Arabidopsis thaliana: one gene and its partners. The protein of the gene in region 1 interacts with the protein of each later gene in a biochemical or structural test. Each region holds a gene or a part of one and is shown on either strand. Other genes may lie near its edges.

Region 1 (9,295 bases):
GCATTACCCATTACTCCGATCCGTCTCTCAATAATTAATGTAGAATAGAGAAATCTCTCTTCATCATACAATGTCATTAAAGATATCCCACACATTAACAAAGAAGTTCTTACTAAATCCCTAAATCAAATCAATATAATGCATTCTTGCTCATCAAAATGCAACCCTCAAGAATTCAACATCTTTACGGTACAATAGGGAAGACAATGTCTAATGACTCTTCACATTTCATTGAACATATATAAGCAGAAAAATTTCAAACTATAGTTGCAGAAATTTCCAACCCGTATAAAGAAAAGAAAAAAATGAAACATTCAGGCTCATATGCAATAACAACGTCGAAATAATGAAATTTCAATCATCTACATGATCATGTAGTAGAGTGCTCTCAACCGTTGGATTAATTTATACATTTTCTATGTGTAAATGTGTATCATGATAGAAAAGGCACGCACCAATGGAACATCTGGGTAACGACGTAGCAATCAACCACATAATCGACGATCAACATTGAAATCTGAGTACGCGCGACTAACGAACGAAACGTTTAGGGTTTGCAAAATTGAAGGTTGAAGAGACGAAGAACGGAGACAACGTCATAGGGAACGGTTACGTGGTATTAATCTGAGCATCGGAATGTGAGCCATGTGACGACGTGGCCTCCTCTTCTCTTCCCGGAATCGCCATGGAAACAAAAATAAAATTTCTTGGAACGAACTAGCACATGTGCCACGTGTCACACTAGGCTTCTTACATTTTTTTTTTATAAAAATAATTAAACTGGAAAATGGAAAAACAAATAACAATTCATAAAAACTGTAAATTTAAAAATATATCTTCTTCGTCTTGATGATTATACATAAACATAACTTCCTTAAACAATTACTAGGTTTTTTTCTTTTTCTTGTTGCATGAAATATAAAATTGCAAAAACATAGTAAAAGAGAAACAAATTATCAATAAGAAAAACACCACGCCGGTCCAGCTTGAGCCTCCCTACAGAACCGATAATAAAGCCAGGCCGGTCCACCTTGCGGCTCATTATGGAACCGATTATAAAGCCAGGCCGGTCCACCTTGTGGCTTATTGAGTAAACCATTATGAAACCGGACCGGTCCACCTTGTGGCTCCCTACGGAACCGATTATAAAGCCATGCCGGTCCACCTTGCGGTTCATTACGGAACCGATTATAAAGCCAGGCCGGTCCACCTTGGAGCTCATTACGGAACTGATTATAAAGCCAGGCCAGTCCACCTTGCGACTCATTGCGTAACCCATTATGAAACCGGGCCGGTCCACCTTGTGGCTCACTACTTAACAGATCTTGAACCCAGTCCGGTCCACCTTCGTCCTCATCAGCACGTAACCGATTACGAAGCAACGCCAGTCCACGTTGCGCCTCACTACGTAACCGATTAAGAAGCCACACCGGTCCACCTTCAGAAAGGTACGGGTTAAAACGACCATCCCTTGTAACACTCTCCGCAATGTCCCGTGCAATGGAATTAGCAGGACAAGACACCAGCTCAAAGATGATAAAAGGAAATGATTGACAAGCTATGAAAATAGTATCGAGCCACATTGCATATCGAGGCCAATCCCGAGGATTATACAAGGCAGCAATTGCAGCTTGACAATCCGAAGAGATTATCACGTTTTGCAAACGAAGATCTCGTAAGCTTTTAACCACCCACAAGATACAACGCAACTCGGCCATGATCCTATTTGAAGACCTTGTAAAAGCATCTCTTGCATGGTATAGAGCCAAACCATTAACATCACGAGCAATCCAAGCTACCCCACTCATCATGTCAGCATTTCCCCAATGAGCATTCACATTACACTTAACAATTCCAAAGTCTGGAGGAGTCCAGTTAAGATCCAAGCTCGTCCCCCGAACAAAGCATGCGCCATATGTATCTATCTGTCGCGCATTAAGCCACCGTTCCTCTTCTTCAACCCCTATGGATCCTTGTACACTCAAATCCACATGTCTACCTGCAAGCAATTTATCATTTTTATTAAACAAATTAAAGATAAAATTTCTGAATTATTAGTTAGATACAAGTTACAAGAAAAATTGCAAAATTCTAGCTATCGTCTTTTTAAAAACAAACGTTAGACATTAGGCTAATTGTATAGTTTATGATAAAAGGACAACGACATCAAATTAAAAAGATTACAAAACTCATTAGCCATACAAAAGTTAAAAACTCACAAGAGTGTTAAACACAAAATTGACAAGAACCATATAGATTTAAATTGATATATCAAAGAGAGAAGGTTCAGTTACGATTTATGTGTCCTCTGTGATGAGCAATCATGACTTGAGAAGTAGACAATAGCATCGTCTCTTGAACCTTGTTTAAAGGTCTGACCGGCCGTTTTGTTAACCAACTGAAAGATTCTAACAACAAATTTTCTTATATATATGCTTTACCAATTGTTGTCTTTGAACAACCATAAAAAACAAAAAACAAATTGAGAGTTCTTAAATACACAAAATTGAGAAGGTAGTGAATGAAGACTATTATTATGTTACCAAATTATATATTCGTATATGTTTACCACATTTAAAGCATAGTCAATAAAAAATAAAAACGTTACCAAATGGATAATATATTGAAAGTTGATTAGTAAGTATCATTTATGTAATTTCCATCTCGTGTATGCATAATTGTATGCATATTGGTATTATAAATTCATATGGGACTTTAAAAATGGAGTAGTTGCATTTGTTGATAAAACAAAAGAAAATGGAAGTTCTCTCTGATTCAAGAATAAAGGTAACTGTAACATGTTTTATACTCACATAGACATTTTTGATTACTATGTTTTACAAGATTTTAGGAAAATGACTTGTGTGCGTGTGTGTGCTTGTCTGTTGCATAAAAGAGAAGAGCACAAGACTGATATTTACGATTGGTATATTAGAATGCATTATACATTCATGTTTAAATTTTACTGCATTAGGGATTACATTTTGTTATTTTTTGTGCTAACTAATTTATTTTGATTAGTAATCATTTATCACAACGGTAAGAAGTACTATTCCGTTATTTCTGTTACCCTACAAAAAGCAGTAAGCTTTTGATTAATAATCATATATCGCAATGGTAAGAAGTATACTGTTATTTCTCTTATCCAATTCCTGCTTTTGATTAGCAATCATATATTGCAATGATAAAAAATAATCGGATATTTTTTGTTACCAAATACATAAGGCGGTAAGATTAACAATGCCAAAACGTTACCATCGTTATTTTTGTACCTCTATATTATACCAATTTTTCTAGATGTTACTCGAAATACATCTAAACATAAATAAGTCATCTCGATCGAAAAACTTTTCATTAACAATGAGATTTCTAGAATCATATCTACATATCACTTAAGTCTTCAAAAACATAACCTTTTTCTTTACAAGATTCTTGATAATTCTAATCTATTTAATTTGTTTTTTTTCAAAAAATTAAAACCATAAATCAAGTGTAAAAAACAAAAAAAATCTCATAATCTATAGCGTAATCCACATATTAACCAATAGTAACTCGTGGAGGTGATAATTATATAGCTTAATCCAACCCTAGCCAATCATGTAAAGCGTTAGGGATAATGTACTCTTAGAGTCTATCGACCAGTGAAAATAAAAAGACAGTGAAAATACGATAAGAGAAAGAAAAAAAAAAAACAGAGAAGGTAAGAAAAATTCAAAGCGAGGTTCTCGGGAACCAATCTGGAAGGAGGAGGGGTGCAGAGAGAGAGAGAGAGAGAGAGAAGCGAAGACGATGGCGATGATAGGGATGAACATTATTGGGCTATTCATGGTTCTTATGTTGCTTCTCATCTCCCTCATCATCCTTTTCGCCTGCAAGCCATGGCGATATTTTTCTCGTTTCCGATCCTCCTCTCGTTTTTCTTCTACCTTCAAGGTTTCTTCTTCCTCTTCCTCTTATCTCATTCTCTATTCAATTTTCAGAGTCTTCGTTCCACGGCTTCGTTTTTTGATTTTTGATTCGATTTTATGTCGGATGGTTTGTTTTCGCGAAATGATCAATTGATAAAGGATTTGATCATCAGTGACAAGTGTTACGTCGCTGGATCATGATGCTTTTCTCGTGGATTCCGATAGTAGTTGGGGTTATTTGGCGATTTCGTTGATTGATTTTGTCGACGTGGGGGCGGTGAGATATATATTGTGTGTTTGGTTTCTGAAATAATCTGATTGACTTTTTGGAGATGATAATGTGTTGTTGAGTTTTCTCACTGTTGAAAAATTAGGATTCTTTTGTTGTTGTTAGATTCTTTTGAAGCTCAAGAGTTGATAGATTCGTTTGGTTTATAATGAGTGTGGCTGGATTTTCTCTGCCTGCTCGATTTGCACAAAATGGTTTTGTTTGAATAAAGCGTAATGGCCGTTTCAGCTTCTTTTGTGTGCTATGTTTTCTTCTTCTTCTCTAGCCATGGCTAATTGACATTTTCAACGGCTCAAACTGTTGATGTGCACTTAGACAGACATTGGAAGTAGGGAACTCTTGTGAATTTGCTTGCGAAAACTGTCGATTTGTTTCTGAATTTGGACATTGGTGCTTATATATTAGGCAATGTGAATGTTGCCAAGAACTCAGTTTCAGTGTGGGAAATTATCGTGGGAGAACTTCTTCCTCATTAGTTACCTTTTTGTAGGAATTCTGTGAGTTTTGTTTTTTTTGTATTTTTGTCTTTCTACCGGAGAAATGGTAACAAATGAATGAAAAAGGTGAAATCAGCTGTTCATTCATTTCCTAGCTCTGTTATACTCTACTCCTTACTAATCTAATAGGCGGTTTTACTCTCACTGGAAATAGGATACAGCTCATCCATCTAGTCTTTTCGCTTGTAGATTTCATTTGTTTGCAATTTCTCCATAACTTGGATAACATACTAAAATTGTATAAGAACTAAATCCACCTTATTATTACTACATTCTTCATATAGGGAAATATTGAGTTTCTCATCTTTCAGCTATTGAGTATCCAGTTTACGCAACTTTTTTTTTGCTCCTAGCCCTAATTCTTTCAGCGCCATTGTTTGCAGGTGGGGGATTTGCAGAGACCACTTATTTCTGATGATGGAAATTTGATCCAAGGACAAACCAGTGAGGTAACAAGGGAATATGATTTAGAGGGAGCTTGCTACCAAAATGATGGACTTTTGCATTCATCTCTGACTGAGGGACGGTTTTACAAACAAAGGCTTCCTTCGTCATCTCCCCATTTCTCCCAAGGTACTCATTGCCTCTTTCCTCCCCTGCTATGTCCAGCTCTGGTAGACAAGTTGGATTGACTCTAGATCATTAGCGTGATGGAAATGATACAGTTGTATCAGAAACATCCTCTTTGCATTATGAACTCTATGCATCACTCATTCTTGACCTTACCAATCTGCCCTAACTTATGTAGGTGAAAGCTTTGTTCTAGAAGTAATTTCTGAACCTTCTGACAATGCTTTGGTGGGCCAAACGCTTAAACTTCCAGCTGAAAAAGGTTCCTTGGCAGAAGTGCAAACATATGACTGGCAGAATAACAGAAATGAAAACTTGCAATATAATCTGGAAAAGGATCGACTTATTAATCTTTCTCCGAGGCTCGTGGAAGATCAAAGTAATTTCTTATTCTTTTGCTTGCCTAGGGTGTGTAATACAACTTCAATCCATTTTTTGAATTACTTGTGCAAGACATATATCATATTTTGTGTTAGAAGTGCAGGAAGTTGGCTGTTCCTGGAAGTCATCGCGGGTCCTGCCATTGGGCTTCAACATGCTGTGAACTCCACAAGTTCCTCCAAGCTGCCAGTGAAACTTGGAAGGGTTTCTCCTTCTGATTTGGCATTGAAGGACTCAGAAGTCTCTGGGAAACATGCACAGATAACATGGAACTCTACTGTAAGGAGCTATGTAGATTTATTTATACGACTTCTGCATGCCACTTCTTACACTGTGCGTCACACCTGCCTGGTTTTGATTTCAGAAATTTAAATGGGAGCTGGTAGATATGGGTAGCCTAAATGGAACTCTCGTAAACTCTCATTCAATAAGTCATCCTGATTTAGGCAGCCGGAAGTGGGGTAACCCTGTCGAGCTTGCAAGTGATGATATAATAACTTTGGGAACAACAACAAAGGTCTATGTAAGTCAATCTGAGTGGTGAAGGTGCTTGCTGGTAATTTTTTTTGTTTCCCTTGTTAATTTCATGCAATTTCTTTTCATCTTTGGAAGGTCCGTATCTCCTCTCAGAATGAGTTTCAGATACCCTTCAAAATTGGTGTGGCCTCAGATCCCATGGCTATGCGTCGAGGAGGCAGGAAACTTCCGATGGAAGATGTTTGTCATTACAAGTGGCCGCTTCCTGGGGCTAATAAGGTTACCTTGATTAGTGATTTGAGTTGTATGTATGATGATGGGCTTCGCTGCTTTTGATAACATAATTCCAAATGTATATGGTTTCAGTTTGGACTGTTTTGTGTTTGTGATGGACATGGGGGATCAGGGGCTGCTCAATCCGCAATCAAGTGAGTCTTTCTTAAAAAAATCCAAATCACCTCTATTAACTATTTCTTTTATAAAATCCTCCTCGATAGGTCTTATTTTGGGTTTTCTTTGTATGCTTAACCTACGAAATGTCCTAACCTGAAAAAGGCTGCGGTTTTGGCTGTGTTTAAACTTCTAACAGCATCCGCCTTTCTGAGTTTTTCTTTATTGTTTTTGCTTCATTTATTAATCAACTTCTTATGTAGTTTAAAATTTTTAGCTGCATGTGATTAGCCATGCAAATGTGTTACAGTTAGGGCAGGCGTGGTTACAGCCGGGAACAAATATATGAAACTTTGTTCTGTTCATTTTTGTAAATGGGCTTAGTCATTATATGTTAGGAGCCTTCACTAACTACTGGAGCATCTTTGATTTACTTGTGTCTCCAACAACGGCAATTATATACTTGAATATATAAGCTAATTAAACTTCTTCTCCAGAATTATTCCGGAGGTTCTAGCGAATATTTTATCAGACTCGCTGAGGAAGGAGAAAGTGTTATCAAAAAGGGATGCTTCGGACGTCCTTAGGGACATGTTTGCTAAAACAGAAGCTCGCCTCGAAGAACACCAATATGAGGTATTTCAGTTTGTCCTTTTCTTTTCCTTTGATGGCATGTTTGCCTTCTTGACGACTTGGCTGGAACTTTTTCATTGCTTCCTACTTAATGAATTAGTTGATCGATGCAGGGTTGTACAGCTACTGTTCTCTTGGTTTGGAAAGACAATGAAGAAAACTTCTTCGCACAATGTGCCAATCTTGGGGATTCAGCATGTGTTATCCAGTACGTAAAAAATATTATATTGCTATTCTTGAGATTCGTAGTTGCTGAGCTTGCATTAACCAGACTTGTAGCAGCATTTCTTGGTGTAGAAAGAGGGAGGGGACTTGATTACTCAGATTAGAAACAAAGATCTTGCGTGTTTAAAGCGTGAGTGAGTGTGGTCTTCTTAATGAAAACCTCTTGGTTTGGAAACAGTAGATGATTACTAATATAGGCTTTATAGTAGAGTAAATAGACATCAATAGATGAGATTGTTTCACGTCGGAGTAGAATTTTTTTGGATAAGAAAAAGAATATTTGAATGTCGTTGCTTTGCTTTGTGGAAATAGAAAGAGAGTTTATCCCTACATCTTCCTTGATACGGATCTTAATTAATAATAAAAAATTCTGATAGTTGTTTTGCTCTTAGGAATTAATGGTCTCGGCATTATAATAGTAACTTCGACTTTCTTAACTGATTACGATTTGGTTTGCATTTGGCAGTCTTGGTGGCAGATATATACAAATGACTGAAGATCATCGAGTGGTTAGCTTGAGCGAGAGAAAACGATTCCAAGAAGCAGGACTAGCCTTGAGAGATGGAGAGACTCGGCTTTTTGGTATTAGCTCAATGAATTAAACACGCTCAGGTGATTGCAACTTCTTTGTAACAAAATGACCAAATCTGATGTGATAATTTTCTTCAGGTATAAACCTTGCGAGGATGCTTGGAGACAAGTTTCCAAAGCAACAAGACAGCCGTTTCAGTGCAGAGCCATATATAAGTGAGCCTTTGCGTATCGATCAATCTAGTAAAGACGTATTTGCTGTATTGGCTAGGTAAAAAAACATAAACATAAACATAATAAGCTTTTTCCCGTTTTCTGATTCTTGCTCGCTAATTTTTGAAATCCGAATACTGCAGTGACGGGTTATGGGACGTGGTAAGTCCGAAGAAAGCTGTGCAGCTTGTACTTCAGGTAAAATCAATTTCTACTCGTTGAGACATTTGCTATGTCTGAAAACGTCGATCTCATGTAATGTTTATGTTATGGCAGATGAGAGATAAAGAGAGAGGGAGAGAGAGTAGTGCGGAGAAGATAGCAAACGGTCTGCTGAATGAAGCTAGAGCGATGCGTACAAAGGACAACACCTCCATTATTTACTTAGATTTCGATACTTCCCTGTAATGTTAGGAAACATCTTTTAAGATATTTGGGAAGTGTCTTTCTTTTGTGTACCATCTTTTTATGTATTAGTATTTTTGTTAGGGTATAAGAGAGACAAAAAAACCTCAGATGCAGAGATTTAGGATGGATCGTCTTGGTGAGCGACATTGGTTTCATTATCTTTACTTATATAATTAATAATATTATCAGTTAAAGTTTCTGTTTCGTATTTTATTCTTTGGTGAGAATGAATTTCATCAGACAATACAACTTATCAGTTTAGTATGGACTATGGAGTCCGTAATTCTGAGTATTCATTGGTACTTTTGGATTTCGATTTTGGTTTTTGATTTTAGTATCAATACGGTTATTCTAGAGTTTCGGTTCAGTTTTGTTCCAGCTATTTCAGTTTTGTTCTTTTTACGATGTGTACGCAGGCACCAAAATAATACTATTTTGACTGTTGTTCGGTTAGAAGTAGAAAGAAAATCACAGATTTTGTAATAAAAATCTGCCTATTTTCGGAATGAACACGTATACAATTTTGACTGATATATATGGAATGAACCAAAATAGTCAACAGTCAAGAATTTCAAGAGATTTTGGGATTCTTTCCTCAAGTAATCTTACTACCTAATCTGAGTTTTGACTCAATAAATTTTAGTTTAACTTCCGTTTTAAAAATTGGAGTTGTTGTTCAACCTTTTGCATCGTACTAAAACAAATTAAGAAAAACAGAACCCCAAAAAGATTTGAAATTGAAAACAAAGCGGGCCCAAAAATCAGGAGTAGTT
Region 2 (7,900 bases), on another chromosome or scaffold:
ACATGTGTTAGATATATACGTTTCTCATAGATTTTCTGTGTAATAGATGATGATGAGGAATAAGGTAATGGTGTTCTTCTTCTTGTAAGTTGGAAGGTTTTTGTTTGTATTGATATGTTGTAAAATCGGATAGTGATTGTGATGATTATAGATATGATGTTCTTGTTTTTAAAAGTAAAAATGGATTTTGAATTTAAGAGCTGCACTGTTATCCAAATTTGAATGTTGATACTCGAGTCTTACCACTGAATGAGGATTGTGGCATTGAGAATTTTGGGGGATTCTTAATGAAGAGACTAAAACAGAGTAATCTAAATAACATGTGTTCGGAGTTAAGGAATAAGGTAATGATGTTCTTCTTCGTGTAAGCTGGGAGGTTTTTGTTTGTATTGATATGTTGTAAAATCGGATAGTGATTATGATGATGATAGATGTTCTTGTTTTCTTTATACAATCGATTTTGAATTTTGAGAGCTGCAGTGTTGTTTAAATCTGAATGAAACTCAGGTCTTTCCAAGTTAATCAAGATTGTGGCCTTGAAAGTTTTGTGATTTAAATTGTATATGATTCTTAATGAAGAGACTAAAACAGAGTAATGAAGGATCTTGTTTCTCTACCTTAATGAATTTGTGACTAATTTGCCTTGTCTTCTTCTCACACCCGTTTATAAGTTGTGACTATGTGCCTTGTCTTCTTCTCTGAATTGCTCTATGAATGGAGGTAAGAGTTATGGATAGAATTAGCTTCACAGCATCATCCTCATCTTGTGGGAAAATGCACATTATAGAGGTTGAATTCTGTTGTTCATGAACTTTTAAAGCTTCTTGGTTGTTGATTTCTGTGAATTTTTCCGGTTTCTTAGTTTATGTGTGTTTTGCTTCAAGAGCAGAAACTACAATGTTATGACCCTGAGGTGATTTTCTTAGCTCGTAAAAATATGAGAAGTGAATGACCCCCAAGAACTCAATGAAACTGGTCATTATTCCAAATGCAGAGTACGAGTCCAATCTCTTAATCAACCATTAGTCTGTTGATTCCGTGTTTTTTTTTATCAGATGTGTTTCCTTTTTATTTTCCGAGCCATCTGCTGGTAAATACTTTGTAAGTAAGGTCAAGATTGCAACATGACACTGTCGGAAGCTAACACAAACCTGAATTTAGATATGACCCTAATTCACATATTCTAAACAGTCTAGACTTAAATCCAGAGGTCAAAGCTCTCACATTCTTTTATTTTATACACTCTGAACGGAGAATTAGCTAAAGTTTAAAGCCATCAAGCAATAAGCATATTGATTACATTACATACTCGAGATAATAACACATAAAGAGGTAATATACAAATTGAAACACAACAAATATACAAACCCGAAAGTATTAGAAACCATAAATAAGAACACCCAAAAAATGATCACCACATTTCGCATCTTATTTTCATATTTATCTTGCTTGGGTCAGAACGCGATCAAGTTCGCCACGGATTTAGGAGGGTTAGTGAGCATGTGCACAACTTCCCTCATCGTAGGCCTTGCCGCGGCTTCTTCCTCCACACACATCATTGCGATCTTGAACACATGAATCACACTTGTCAACGGGTAACCAGTCAACCTCGGGTCAACAATCGCAACAACAATAGCAGCATCCGATGGCTGAGTTATCTCCTCTTCCGTGTTCCTCACCCACCTAACTATATCCACTCCTTCTCCAAATTCACCAACAGGTTTCTTCCCAGCTATTAACTCCAACAAAACCACTCCGAAACTATACACATCACTCTTCTCGTCCACTTTCAAGGTATATGCATACTCTATGCAAACCAAAAACAAAATGATAATCAGAACATATATCATTTTGGTGAGTACTAATGTTGTTGACATGTAACTAACCTGGGGCGATGTATCCATAAGAGCCAGCAATTGAAGACATACACTCAGAAGCAGCACCATCAACTAAGAACTTAGCAAGCCCAAAATCAGCAACATGGGCTTCAAAATCAGAGTCCAAAAGAATGTTATTGGACTTAACATCTCTATGCAAGATCAATGGTGAACAATCATGGTGAAGATAACACAAGCCCTTTGCAGCTTCCACGGCTACTCTATGTCTCGTCTCCCATTGAAGATGACCACCTTTAGATCCATGCAAAAGCTCTCCAAGGCTTCCATTAGGCATGTACTCATAAAGAAGGAGATTCGTATCCTTGTTCGCTACGTAACCAAGAAGTCTCACTATGTGACGGTGGCGGATTCTCCCCAAAGTTTGAATCTCCGCCGTGAATCCATGATCGCTCCTCCCGGTCCCACGGCCAACGAGTCGTTTAATCGCGACGTCTACGTTGTTTGGCATTGATCCACGGTAGACAATTCCAGCTCCGCCTTTACCGATTATGTTCTCTTCTTTAAGACACTCGAGAACGTCTTCAGATTTGAAATCTAGTTTCTGGAAGGCGGTTAGTTTCCAGGCGAGAGATTTCTGGTTCTTCTTCTTATTCATCTGACGAATCGCTACACTGATTAGGATCAAACCGGTGATCGCTGCGATAACCGTGATTACGATCCTTGACGGTGAGAACAACGCCGTGTGATTGTGATCGGAGGTTTGTCCTGGCCGTGTTGGACAAGAGACACGGTGAGGGAGACAGAGGTAAGTGTTTCCGGCGAAGGAAGTTTCGTTGAACACCAAGAATTGACCACCGAGTGGTACTCTACCGGAGAGATCGTTGAAAGAGAGATCGAGAGTTGTTAAACTCGTCATGTTTCCGATTCCGGTAGGGATTGAACCGGTTAATTGATTACCGGAGATATTTAGAGTTCCTAAGTTTTTCACGTTGTTGATCCCTTTAGGGATTTCTCCGTTGATTCGGTTACGGCTGAGATCGACGGAGATTAAAGTTGAGCAGCGAGAGATTGAATCTGGAATACCGCCGGTGATGTTGTTCGCACTTGTGTTGATCCTCGATAAATGCTTCAATTCGAAGATTTCTCTCGGAATGTTGCCGCGAAATCGGTTCCGATCTAAGAATAGAGTCTGTAGATTGGGGAAATTACCAATCGCAGGTGGAATCTCGCCGGAAAACCAGTTGTTAGAGAGGTAAATCTGATCGAGAACATCGCCGGACATCGTTACCGGAAGTTCACCGGAGAAGAAATTATCAGTGAGTTCGATAATCGTAACTAACGGTAGATTGAAAAGCCCCGCCGGAACAGTGCCGTTGAGAAGATTCTTAACGATTCTGATTTTGGTTAAGGATTTGCATTTACCAAGCTCTTCTGGAATTGGACCAAAGAAGAAGTTGTTAGAGAGAATTAACATCTCTAATTTCTCACCTCTGCATAAGTCCTTGGGGATAAGTCCGGTGAGATGATTATCAGAGACATCAAGCTTTATTAGATTCCCGTTCCGGCCAAGATTCGCCGGTAATTGTAACGTGAAATTGTTCTCCCATACTTCGAAGACTTCGAGTTTTGGTAATTCTCCGATGGCCTCTGGTATTTGTCCGTAGAGATTGTTTCTGAAGAGATTGATTAGAGTAATGTTTCCGAGATTGATGAAGCTTTGAGGGATTTCTCCGGTTAACTGATTGATTGATAAATCGAGAGATTTCAAGCTGACTAAACCGGAAAGCTCCGGTGGTATATGACCGGTTAAGTTGTTGATGTGAAGAAACAGAGTATGTAGATGTTTCAGGTTACTTAAACTCGTCGGAATCTCTCCGGTGAGTGTACAGCTCGCCATGTCGAGGATCTCAAGCTTTGTTAAACCACCGAACTCCGGTGGAACACCACCGGTGTAGCTGTTGTAGTAGCCAATATACATTTCTCTTAAGTTCTTGAGGCGGGAAAGAAACGCCGGAGATTTACCGGAGAGTCCAGCTCCGTTGAGACCAAGATACTCTAAGCTTTGAATATCTCCATAACTCTCTGGAATCTCTCCGCTGAAGAAATTTCCACCGAAAGAGAGGTATTTAAGCTTCTTAAGCTCTGACATCTCCGGTGGTAACTTACCGTTGAAATTGTTGTTATAAGTGTCAAGAACTTCAAGATCAACCATAGCTTTTAAAATCTCTCCAGGGAATGTTCCAGTAAGGTTACCATTGTTGGAGATATTCAAAACCTTGAGAGAAGTTAGACTCTTCATCTCCAATGGTAATTCACCGGTGAAGTTGTTGGCAGCTAAAGTTAGATTCACCAAATGAGTCAACATCCCAATCTCTGGTGAGATTGTACCAAACAAAGGAGTGAAGGAGACGTTGAGAGAGATAACACGAGCATCGTCGTCACATGAGACGCCGGAGAAAGAACAGTGAGCATCCGGAGAAGATGAGTGAATCCAGTCGTGGAGACCGTGTCCTTTAGGACCAATCATGGAGGATTTGAGATTGAGAAGAACTTCCATGTCAGTGTAAGCGAAACATGGTGAGAAAAATAGATACAGATGCAGAAACAGAAGATGAGTCTTCAAAAGTCTCATCGCCATTTTTTTAGTGTCCTCTCAGTGAGAAAGAGCGAGAGAAAATAATAAGATAGCGTGAGTGTTATGCGATAGGACACAGAGACATGAACAATGGCATATTATGAAGAAGAAGATGAAGAGAATCGATGTGGTACTACTGTTCTAAATACCGTAAGACTTTGTGAGCGAATATATACTTTTATGTGACTTTACATAAATATTGTTATTATTAAAAATAATGCGCCAAAATACTTTTATGTGTTCATTTTTCAAATTATCTTGTAAATCTTGTTATGGTTACTGTCTTAAGTAGATTTATCATTTGTGAATAGAGAAATTTTACGAAAATAAAAGATAATTAAGGTACAATTGATCAGAGAACCATCTGCTGATCTTGCAGGTAGATAGATACAAACTATACGACTTATGGTCAAACACATACGTCTCAGTCTCTCATTGGCTATTTTTACATTCGATTCTTTTATAACGAGTGATCAATAATATTGCTGAGATTGTACTTTCAAATTTGGTCACACACTATTCAAACTCTAAAATCACTGGAATTACACTAGAAAGGCAGTTTTACTGGAGTCAAACTTTAGAGTTTTTAGTAGCCGCCACTACTACACTTATTAGACATGGAGAAACGGGAACGTCGTCGTTTTCTTCTTCTCTGATAAGTCTTCTGACACGATTTGTTTTGGCTTCATCAAACAAAAATCAATAGATAAGAGGTTCACGGCGTTTTAAATTTAACGGTGTAGAGATGCATCTCTTCTTTAACATTGACAGATCTTTATCTAAACGGCGTTGATCTGACCGTTATAAATGCTATAGACAGGACATAACGTTACGTTCCCTAGAGCCTGTGGTTTCTTCTTTCTTTCTTCTGTCGCCGTCTTGTCAACGGCACCAGTTATATAATCCGACGGCGTTTATAGCATCGTCGTCACGTGATGGGGAGAAAAGAGGAATAAGAAGACAAGGAGAGAAGTAAATGGGCTTTAATTAGAAGTAGGGCCTATTTTTCTAATTGGCCCGTATAGAAAGTCTGTCTGTGTCCTTTTCCTAAAGAGACAAATTTGCCCCTTGTGGTTTTTTTGGCTTTAACTTCCAAGTCAACGCTCTTTCTTGTATTTTGTCTTCTCACTTCTCGTTCATTCATACACTCCACTCACCGGTCTGTCACCATACAGACCTTCTGCTTCAAGGTCCCCACGCTCTATGTTCATATTTTACCTTTGTTTCGTTCGTGTGACTCTCTTGAAAACATTAGGGATTTATTCACTTCGGTCCATTTAAGATTTGATCGTGATTAGTCCAAAGTCCAAACCGATCAAATTAATAGCAACTGCCGATACCAAATTATATTCGTTTTGTAATCGGTGATTCAGAAAAAAGTTCAATGTATATAAATTCGTTCGTAGTGTTGATATTAGGACAAATCACTAGTTTGAAACTAAAGATACTAAAAACTATTTAATGTTTGAAGTTTTAGGTTTAGTTGTTAATACTTTTGGCTGAAAACGTGTCAATTTTGTTGTTAATGATGGCAAAACGAATAGCAAAATATTCCTAATGAATTAGGCCGAATGATATGATTAATATGCTTAACTTACATAAGTGAATCTTTCTTAATTATAAGTAAGCACCTTAAAGCAGTTTTTACAAGATCGATTCTGCCACAATCAAAATCGATTCTATCAACAATCTAACAATAAAATAATAATAGTTGTGAATTAATGGTCTGCCGTTATACAAGCACTATGGTTCTTGGCGAATATATCTTCATCCCGCTAACAATTTTTTTAGTTTGATAGAAAAATATATCAGGTGCTTTAGCAACAAAAAGGGATTTTAATCTTTAAAGAAATCTATACACTTGGGGTTGACATACACTTGGGGACCAATGTTCTATTATTATTGCGGTATATTGGTATAAAGGTCCTTCCTAAATGGCAGCGAATTTCTCATATTAATAATCTTTTGTGCATTCTCTTTTAGATATTATCTTATGATATACATTAGATTAAGAAGTAAACGCTGAAAAATATGCATACTTAGCAACAAATAAATGTGCTTTTTTCTCGTGTCTATTTGGTTTAACTTAAGTGGATTGAGAATCAGATCAACAGGTACAAGTGCAACCTTTAAAACAATGAGATGTCAATTAGTGATGAAGAAGAGAGCATCTCTTATGTGATTCGCTGAAAATGCTCTAACTCAATGAACTTTGGGAATAAAGGTTTAGGTTCTCTTCAGCAGAAAAGGAGCTCTTTTTAGTAAGTGGGAAATTTTATTATTGTAAAAAAGAATCTCTAAACTTTGGATTATTTTCTGATGTAAATAGTATAATATACATATAGGAGAATAATATAACGACATATAGCAACGATGGAAAATTTATCACCAAAAATCATGTCATCTTTATCACTAAATGACTCAAGGGTGAAAGAACTTTGGACCAATTTCTAGATGGATATCAATAAATTTGTTGAAATTAAATTATACGAAAGGGAATTAAACTGTAGAAGCTTGGTTCACATGTTTGATTTTCACAAAAATGTTTCGATTTGAACTTGCCATAGTACAATTTGCAACATATGCTTCTTTTACTCTGTTGTTTGCGTTATAATAAAATCGTCTCAAAATATTTAAAAATCATATGCAATTTGATTTAAGAATAAATTTGGAACTGTTTAGAAAGTTAGGTACCCAATTCATATACTTATTAAATACAATAAATAAATCATAAAGTTTTATATACAGATGCACCAATTGTTTATAGATTATCTGTATACACAATTACACACTCTACTAATCAATGTACTTTAGCATAGAATAATACTTTTACTTCTACTAAGCTTGTTTCACTAATTATAATGTTTAGTTAGAGATAAAACCATTGAAAAATCTCAAAAAGTAATAATCAATATAAACAAATAGAGAGAGCAATGATAATAATAAGATATATAGGTCATAGTCTTGTCAATCATGTTAATGATAAAAACGACAAGGCTACAAAAGTAGTAGTAGAAGTAGAAGAAGAAGATGATGATAGTGAAGACAAACTTGTGTCATAAGTGGTCTTACACAAATCCGTCTTGGAAACTGGTGTTTGCCTAATGGCCCTGCTGGGCTTTTGCTTCAGTCATTACCGAATCCTCTTGTATTGGCAGCTTTAATCCCAAATCTATTCAACTCATGCAATGATTTTGGACGAAGAAACTTCTCAATCCCAAATGACCCTTACTTCACCTTTCACTTTTTGTTCCATCGTAAAGATTTGAAACTTTTTAGATCTTATGAAAAGGCACCACATCTTCATCAAGTATTTTCTTTAAAATGTAGGGGAAAAAAAAATCTAGTTCTTTTGTTCATAGTCAACCTGGACCAGTAGGTCGTTGGGCCTTGGGTCTTCAGTCACGTCGGCAATCAACATTCACTT
Region 3 (7,140 bases), on another chromosome or scaffold:
GATACATAAATGTTTGAGTTAATAGAGAATTTTTATATTTAATAGATGGCAAGACCAAAACTTACTAGGTTCCAACTACTCTTCTCGTATGGGCTTCTGTTTGGTCTATTTCAAAAATCCTCGCCATTCCAAAATCTGCAACTTTCGGGTTCATATCAGCATCCAAAAGGATGTTACCCGCTTTTAGGTCTCGATGTATGATTGTGAGTCGTGAATCTTGATGGAGATACAGAATTCCTCTAGCAATTCCTCCTATGATCTTGTACCGTGTAGTCCAATCCAGCTGGCTCTGCATTCTAGAATCTGCACATCCATATAGTTAGAATACCTAAAACATGAGTTCCAAAAGGAAATATCTTTCCTAAGCTAAATCTTACCAAACAAGAAGTAATCAAGGCTTTTATTAGACACAAACTCGTAGACAAGTATTTTCTCTTCTCTCTCCAAACAAAATCCAAGAAGCTTGACCAGATTTCTGTGCTGAAGCTTTGCCACAACAACAACTTCGTTCTTGAACTCTTTCTCACCTTGTCCTGATGTTTTCGATAGTCTCTTCACGGCAACTTGTACTCCATTAGGAAGTGTGCCCTAAAAAGATTGTGAATTAAACAGAGCCATCCCCTTATTTGATCCTCTTATGCAAGTAACAAGGAAACTCAATGAACCGGTAGTAGTACCTTGTAAACTTGTCCAAATCCACCTTGACCGAGTTTGTTACACATCGAAAACTTATCTGTTGCAGCTTCAATAACCTTGAAATCAAACTGCAGTGACCCTGCAGTTGTGATGTCATCCTCTTCTGCAAAATATTTAAGAATTCAAATCCATAAAAGTTTAAGCAACGGACACATAGATTTTGGAATCTTTACCATCATTTGCACCTGGTGTATCATAAGTCTTCTTTGCTCTCTTTGATGCATGGAAGCTAAAAACAGCTACACAAATAAGAACTGAGATAGCGACTGGCACAACAATTGCTATGATTATCACTGTAGAATTTTTGCCTTTTCCTGCATAAGTCTTAGATTAGACATGAACTAAAACCAAACTAACTATTAGGTAAATAAATAAAACAGAGCTCTAACCAGGCGGAAAGGAAGGAGTTGAAACCAGTGGCAGTGGAGGAGCCGAAACCGGCGGAGGAAGAACAGTTCCCTCTATAGTTTCCTTGTAAAAGGGGTAAACCTCGTACCTTGAGTTACAACTTGGGACAAGAAATCTTCCTCCAACTTTGTTGAAATATAATTCTTTGATGGATTGTTGAAGACACATTACACAATCTTCACTAGTCAGATCAGGAATGCACTGAACCGATGCATAAAGCGACTGAGACGAACTGAAATCCGACTTCTTAACCGCGAATTTCTTGCTTGTACTATTAGCCGCTTCCTCTGCAGACTTTTTCATCAGAGAAAGCACTGCATCATTAAACCGGTCAGATTGGTCCGCCGTAACTTTCTGAGTGTTCCAAGTGATTATTGTAGTTGTGGTTACAGTATCCATGAATATATTCCTGTCTGAGTATCCAAGCATGCACTCATCATACTGAATCAAGAACTCTTTCCCACCTGGACATCGACTCCGAGTGTCTTTAGCAGCAAAGATGACGCACTCACGGCAAGATTCTGGCGAGAGATCTCCTTTGCAGAGATAAAGTCCGAACACCATGTCGGAGTTTTGACCCTTTGTGAGACTATGAGATCCCAAAGAGAAGTAAGCATTGTTAGAAGAAAGAGAGGTCAAAAGTGTTTGGAGATTTGAGAAGTAAATGGAGTTTCTTGATATCCTGTTAGTACAAACATGGCCAACGTAAGTAGGGTCTTGTAATTGTGCAGAAACTCTCAAGCTTCCAATGAAGAAGGTTAGAAGGAAGAGAAAGTTTAATGAGGTATAAGCAGACATTATCCAATTTCTTCACCTTTCTTCTCTGTTTTTTTTTTCTTACTTTTAATGATTGGTTTATGAGTACTAATGAATGAATGTGAAACCAGCCAAGCCAGTCAAATTTTGGTTTTTGTAAAATAATACAATATCTTGCAAGTCAAGGTCAACTAGACGAGTAACATCAACTTGTATTGATGTTAACTAAAATGAATCAACTATAAAAATGTTAGAATAAACATGTGAAAGCGAAAACCAGAGAAAATACAATTATAAATTTTTAAGTTTTCATGAATCTGTTTCCGGAAAAAGATGAACCTATTGGAGTTGGATATTTAATAGGTTTGTGATTATTCAGCAAGCCGCGGAGACTTTGGGTCAATAAGACAACACCGTTTTACTTCCTTACCAAAGAAGTAACAAACGAACAGTTACAAGTTAAAACAGTAACTTCCCAAACCCTAGTTGCTTCAGTTTCTAGCCTTCACTGCTTCATCAAACCAATCAACACTCTTAGTGGAAGGTTGACTCTAAAGATTGTCGTTGACTTCATATTTTAGTACTTTTCCTTCTGAACTTTACAACTGTGTATAAGAATTTTAGAGTCATTTTGGGAAACAAAGAACTGAAACTTGCCTACTTACATCATTTCATCTCTCTGTTCCTCACAAACTCTCTTGCTTCTGCAGAAAACCGTACTTACTTATCACATCTCTGTTCCAACAAAACAAACTGATTGTGTAAGAATCAGCAGATAAGCCATTAATTCTCTGCACCCTTTTGTTTTCACTCTCTAGTAAATAAAATTCTAGACAAGAGTATCTTACACTTACTTGTCAGGCACTAAAATATTATGAAACAAAAATGGAAGTAATTTAACTAAGAAAAATCGAAGCTTGACCGAAATTCTGCGTTAAGCTTTGCTACAACAAGAATCTCATTCTTGAATTCCTTTTGTTTCTAATACCAAGTTGTAGTAGGCTAGTGGTTCCCAACTTTTAAGGAGCTCCCGTTTATACACTCATTATTGGGCTCAACTGGTGATATGTGGATCACTGATCAAATAACTAAATTTTGATTCAAATTCAAGTTAATTTTAACGTGGGCTTTTCCCAAATAAAAATATATGTTGTTTAAGAGAAATGACAATAATAAGAAAAAGAATCATTTACTTTGACTTGTTGACTCTTATAGTCACCACAACCCATCTTATACTACACGCTAGTGATCAGCTTATAAATGGGAGCTCTATGATGTGAAACTCAAATCAAGGTACTCAAACAATGTCTTCTCTTATATCTTTCAACTTCCTTTTCCTTTTCTCATTCCTCACTAGCTCCTTCACAGCTTCTGCTCAAGATCCTTTTTACTTAAATCATTATTGTCCAAATACGACAACTTACTCAAGTAACAGCACTTACTCCACCAATCTCAGAACCCTTTTGTCCTCTCTATCTTCACGTAACGCCTCTTACTCCACCGGATTCCAAAACGCCACTGCAGGAAAAGCCCCCGACAGAGTCACCGGACTTTTCCTTTGCCGCGGAGACGTCTCACCGGAAGTTTGCCGTAACTGCGTAGCCTTTTCTGTCAATCAAACCTTAAATCTTTGTCCCAAGGTAAGAGAAGCCGTGTTTTACTACGAGCAATGTATACTCAGATATTCTCACAAGAATATTCTATCGACGGCCATTACAAACGAAGGAGAATTTATCTTGAGTAACACCAACACTATTTCTCCTAATCAAAAACAAATAGACGGGTTCACAAGTTTTGTTTCCTCCACGATGAGTGAAGCTGCCGGTAAAGCAGCCAACAGTTCTAGAAAATTATATACGGTGAATACCGAATTGACCGCATACCAGAATTTGTACGGGCTGCTTCAGTGCACTCCTGATCTTACAAGAGCAGACTGCTTGAGTTGTTTGCAAAGTTCCATCAATGGAATGGCTCTTTCCAGAATAGGAGCAAGACTTTACTGGCCGAGTTGTACTGCAAGGTACGAGCTTTACCCGTTCTACAATGAAAGCGCCATTGAAACACCACCACTACCACCACCACCACCACCACCACCACCGAGGGAGTCGTTGGTGTCTACTCCTCCGATATCATCTTCTTCATTACCTGGTGAACTCATTCTCCGTCCTCTCTTTTTATTTCCCCTGCTTTCTTGAAATACTAGTAGGGAAAGTTTTGTTGTTTTGATTAATTTTTGTATTTTTATACTCTGTGGCATTATCTGATCTTAAGCCAATGATCTTTAAAAAGCAGGGAAAAGTGGGAACTCAACAGTGTTAGTGGTAGCCGTTGTTGTGCTGGCTGTTCTGCTTTTCATAGCTTTAGTTGGTTATTGTTTCCTTGCAAAAAAGAAAAAGAAGACTTTTGACACAGCATCTGCATCGGAGGGTAAAGATTACTAACAATCTTAATTAGGTTTGATATATTAGTGGTCGTCATTCATCAGCCTCTTTAGCTGATTACTAAGACATTTGTTCTGTTTATTGTGCAGTAGGAGATGATATGGCAACCGCAGACTCACTACAGCTCGACTATAGAACAATCCAAACTGCAACAAATGATTTTGCAGAGAGTAATAAGATTGGTCGAGGTGGTTTTGGTGAGGTTTACAAGGTATACTATAATATCTTCAAGTACACCCTAGGTTAAGTACTTCGTATTGATTCTTTGATTGGATAACGAGATGATGCTGATTAAAAAGTTAAACGGATAGGGTACATTTTCAAATGGGAAAGAAGTTGCGGTGAAGAGATTGTCGAAAAATTCAAGACAAGGCGAAGCGGAGTTCAAGACCGAGGTTGTTGTAGTTGCCAAGCTTCAACACAGAAATTTGGTTAGGCTTCTTGGATTTTCATTACAAGGAGAGGAAAGAATTTTGGTCTACGAGTATATGCCTAACAAAAGCCTTGATTGCTTACTATTTGGTCTGTTGCATTTCAATGATTCTTTGACCATTAATCTTGAAACTTGGGGTTGCTAATCTCAAGATTTAACTGTAATCCATGGATTTGCACAGACCCTACAAAGCAAATTCAGCTGGACTGGATGCAGCGATACAATATCATTGGAGGAATTGCTCGGGGGATTCTATATCTTCATCAAGATTCACGGCTCACAATCATACACCGTGACCTTAAAGCAAGTAACATTCTCCTAGATGCGGATATAAATCCGAAAATTGCAGATTTTGGAATGGCTAGGATCTTTGGATTGGACCAAACCCAAGATAACACAAGCAGAATAGTTGGTACCTAGTAAGTCTTCCACTTAACATCTCATAACTTATAATATGTTGAACATTTTACATTGCCAACATATACACTAAAGTTTTGTTGTGGATTCCAGCGGTTACATGGCTCCTGAATATGCGATGCATGGCCAATTCTCAATGAAATCTGATGTCTATAGCTTCGGAGTGTTAGTTCTTGAGATTATAAGTGGTAGGAAGAATAGCAGCTTCGGCGAGTCAGACGGTGCACAAGACTTGCTCACACATGTAAGTTTTAAGACAATCAATATATACCTCTCTTACATTACATTAAGTAATGTTAGCTAGAACTGATTGCTTGATTGGTATTCAAGGCTTGGAGGCTTTGGACTAACAAAAAAGCATTAGACCTCGTGGATCCACTTATAGCAGAGAATTGCCAGAATAGTGAAGTGGTTCGATGCATCCATATCGGTCTTTTATGTGTTCAAGAAGATCCTGCAAAGCGTCCGGCAATATCAACCGTTTTCATGATGCTCACTAGTAATACTGTGACCTTACCAGTGCCTCGGCAACCAGGGTTTTTCATTCAATGTAGAGCCGTAAAGGACCCGCTTGATTCAGATCAGTCTACCACGACCAAGTCTTTTCCAGCGTCTATTGATGATGAATCGATCACAGATTTATATCCGCGCTAAATATGACCTTAAACTTCATGCTTGTAATCAAGCTTACGCAAATGTTTACATATTTGTAGAATTGTGGATGTGATCAACCCTAATAATTTTTTAGTTTTGATTTGGTTTGTTAAAACCATATGTATTTTGTTTTGATTTTTTAATAATGAATAATTAGTCTAGTCTCAACATCACCACCGATTGAAAAAAATGAGAGAGGGAGAGAACACTTGGAATGTTGGCATTACAGTTTGGTTCATTTTAAAAATTTGGGCAATCCAAAAGCTATAACTTTGGAGTTCATTTCAGCGTCTAAGAGCCAAGAGGATATATACCTGCTTTGAAGTCACAATGTATGGTTATGATCTTGAATCATTCTAGAATCGCTTTAGCAATACCTCCAATGATCTTGTACCATTTGATTTGGAAACAGAGACTAAACAGAGTACAGTGGGAAGGTGATTTACATGATTTGTAATGTGGTGAAGTAAATGAAATGTGAACTATCTATCACGTCAAAAGTTTTTTTTTTTTTTTTCTTGTTGTAAAGTAAACTAATAACTAATACAATATTTTGAAAGACAAAGTCATCTACACGAGGAATTTAAATGTTAGACTAATAAAACATGTGGAAGAGATAACCAGAGAAAATAGAATTACAAAATTCCAGGTTTTGACGTCTATCAATCTATTTCCGAGAAAAATAAAAAATATTGGGTTTGAATATTATTTAATAAGTTGATGACTATTCTGCTTGGCGCCGAAACTTTGGGTCAATAAGACAGCACCGTTAGACTTCCTTACCATACAAGTAACAAACGGAACAGTTATTAAGTTAAAACAGTCATTTCGCAACCCTAGTTGATTCAGTTTGTAGCCTTATTTAGAATCAGCACCAATCAACGCGCTCAGTGGAAGGTTCGCCTACAAAGAAATAGGCTTTGATTTTTAGAGTCTTTTTTTTTGGAAACAAGGAACTTTACAAATATGCCTAGACTTATATCACTCACATCTCTTTTCATACCTTCTGCACTTTTTCCTATAAATTATTTTTCAATTTTTTTTATATAAAATATTTTCATACATCTAGATGGATCCTTCACAACTTTTGAGATTATTTTGTTATTGTTTTATGGATTTTGATATTCTTCATAAAATTTAAGTTTTATTAATTTTCATGATTTTTAAACTCCATTAAAAATTGTGTTATTCAAAGGCTTAAGTTTCATTAAAATATATATTGTTTGTAAAATTTTATTCATAAAACAAAAAAAAAAAACTGTGGATATCCTTTACAATATTAAAATTATTCTATAACTACAATACTCTCTACAATCTTAAAAATCTCTCATTTCT

What was found.
Region 2: the proteins of KAPP (region 1) and CLV1 form a complex in vitro, tested with the Arabidopsis thaliana proteins (4 studies listed by BioGRID, with this or other methods).
Region 3: the proteins of KAPP (region 1) and CRK6 form a complex in vitro, tested with the Arabidopsis thaliana proteins (one study listed by BioGRID).

Annotation. Positions count from the first base shown.
Region 1 is NC_003076.8:6,484,661-6,493,955, forward strand, and holds KAPP (kinase associated protein phosphatase), read left to right. Parts: upstream 1-3,658; 5' UTR 3,659-3,789; coding exon 3,790-3,933; intron 3,934-5,077; coding exon 5,078-5,267; intron 5,268-5,442; coding exon 5,443-5,643; intron 5,644-5,748; coding exon 5,749-5,924; intron 5,925-6,009; coding exon 6,010-6,168; intron 6,169-6,257; coding exon 6,258-6,401; intron 6,402-6,488; coding exon 6,489-6,550; intron 6,551-7,009; coding exon 7,010-7,148; intron 7,149-7,258; coding exon 7,259-7,353; intron 7,354-7,474; coding exon 7,475-7,504; intron 7,505-7,836; coding exon 7,837-7,952; intron 7,953-8,039; coding exon 8,040-8,172; intron 8,173-8,257; coding exon 8,258-8,312; intron 8,313-8,390; coding exon 8,391-8,522; 3' UTR 8,523-8,779; downstream 8,780-9,295. Other genes in the region: AT5G19270 (reverse transcriptase-like protein), read right to left, coding at 957-1,999, 2,295-2,349. UniProt on the Arabidopsis thaliana protein: Dephosphorylates the Ser/Thr receptor-like kinase RLK5. May function as a signaling component in a pathway involving RLK5. Binds and dephosphorylates CLAVATA1 (CLV1). Functions as a negative regulator of the CLV1 signaling in plant development.
Region 2 is NC_003070.9:28,462,177-28,470,076, forward strand, and holds CLV1 (Leucine-rich receptor-like protein kinase family protein), read right to left. Parts: upstream 4,796-7,900; 5' UTR 4,477-4,795; coding exon 1,887-4,476; intron 1,808-1,886; coding exon 1,455-1,807; 3' UTR 1,168-1,454; downstream 1-1,167.
Region 3 is NC_003075.7:12,118,233-12,125,372, forward strand, and holds CRK6 (cysteine-rich RLK (RECEPTOR-like protein kinase) 6), read left to right. Parts: upstream 1-3,150; 5' UTR 3,151-3,164; coding exon 3,165-4,008; intron 4,009-4,152; coding exon 4,153-4,287; intron 4,288-4,390; coding exon 4,391-4,512; intron 4,513-4,612; coding exon 4,613-4,823; intron 4,824-4,915; coding exon 4,916-5,153; intron 5,154-5,226; coding exon 5,227-5,395; intron 5,396-5,481; coding exon 5,482-5,805; 3' UTR 5,806-5,973; downstream 5,974-7,140. Other genes in the region: CRK5 (cysteine-rich RLK (RECEPTOR-like protein kinase) 5), read right to left, coding at 66-303, 378-588, 678-799, 870-1,010, 1,086-1,902.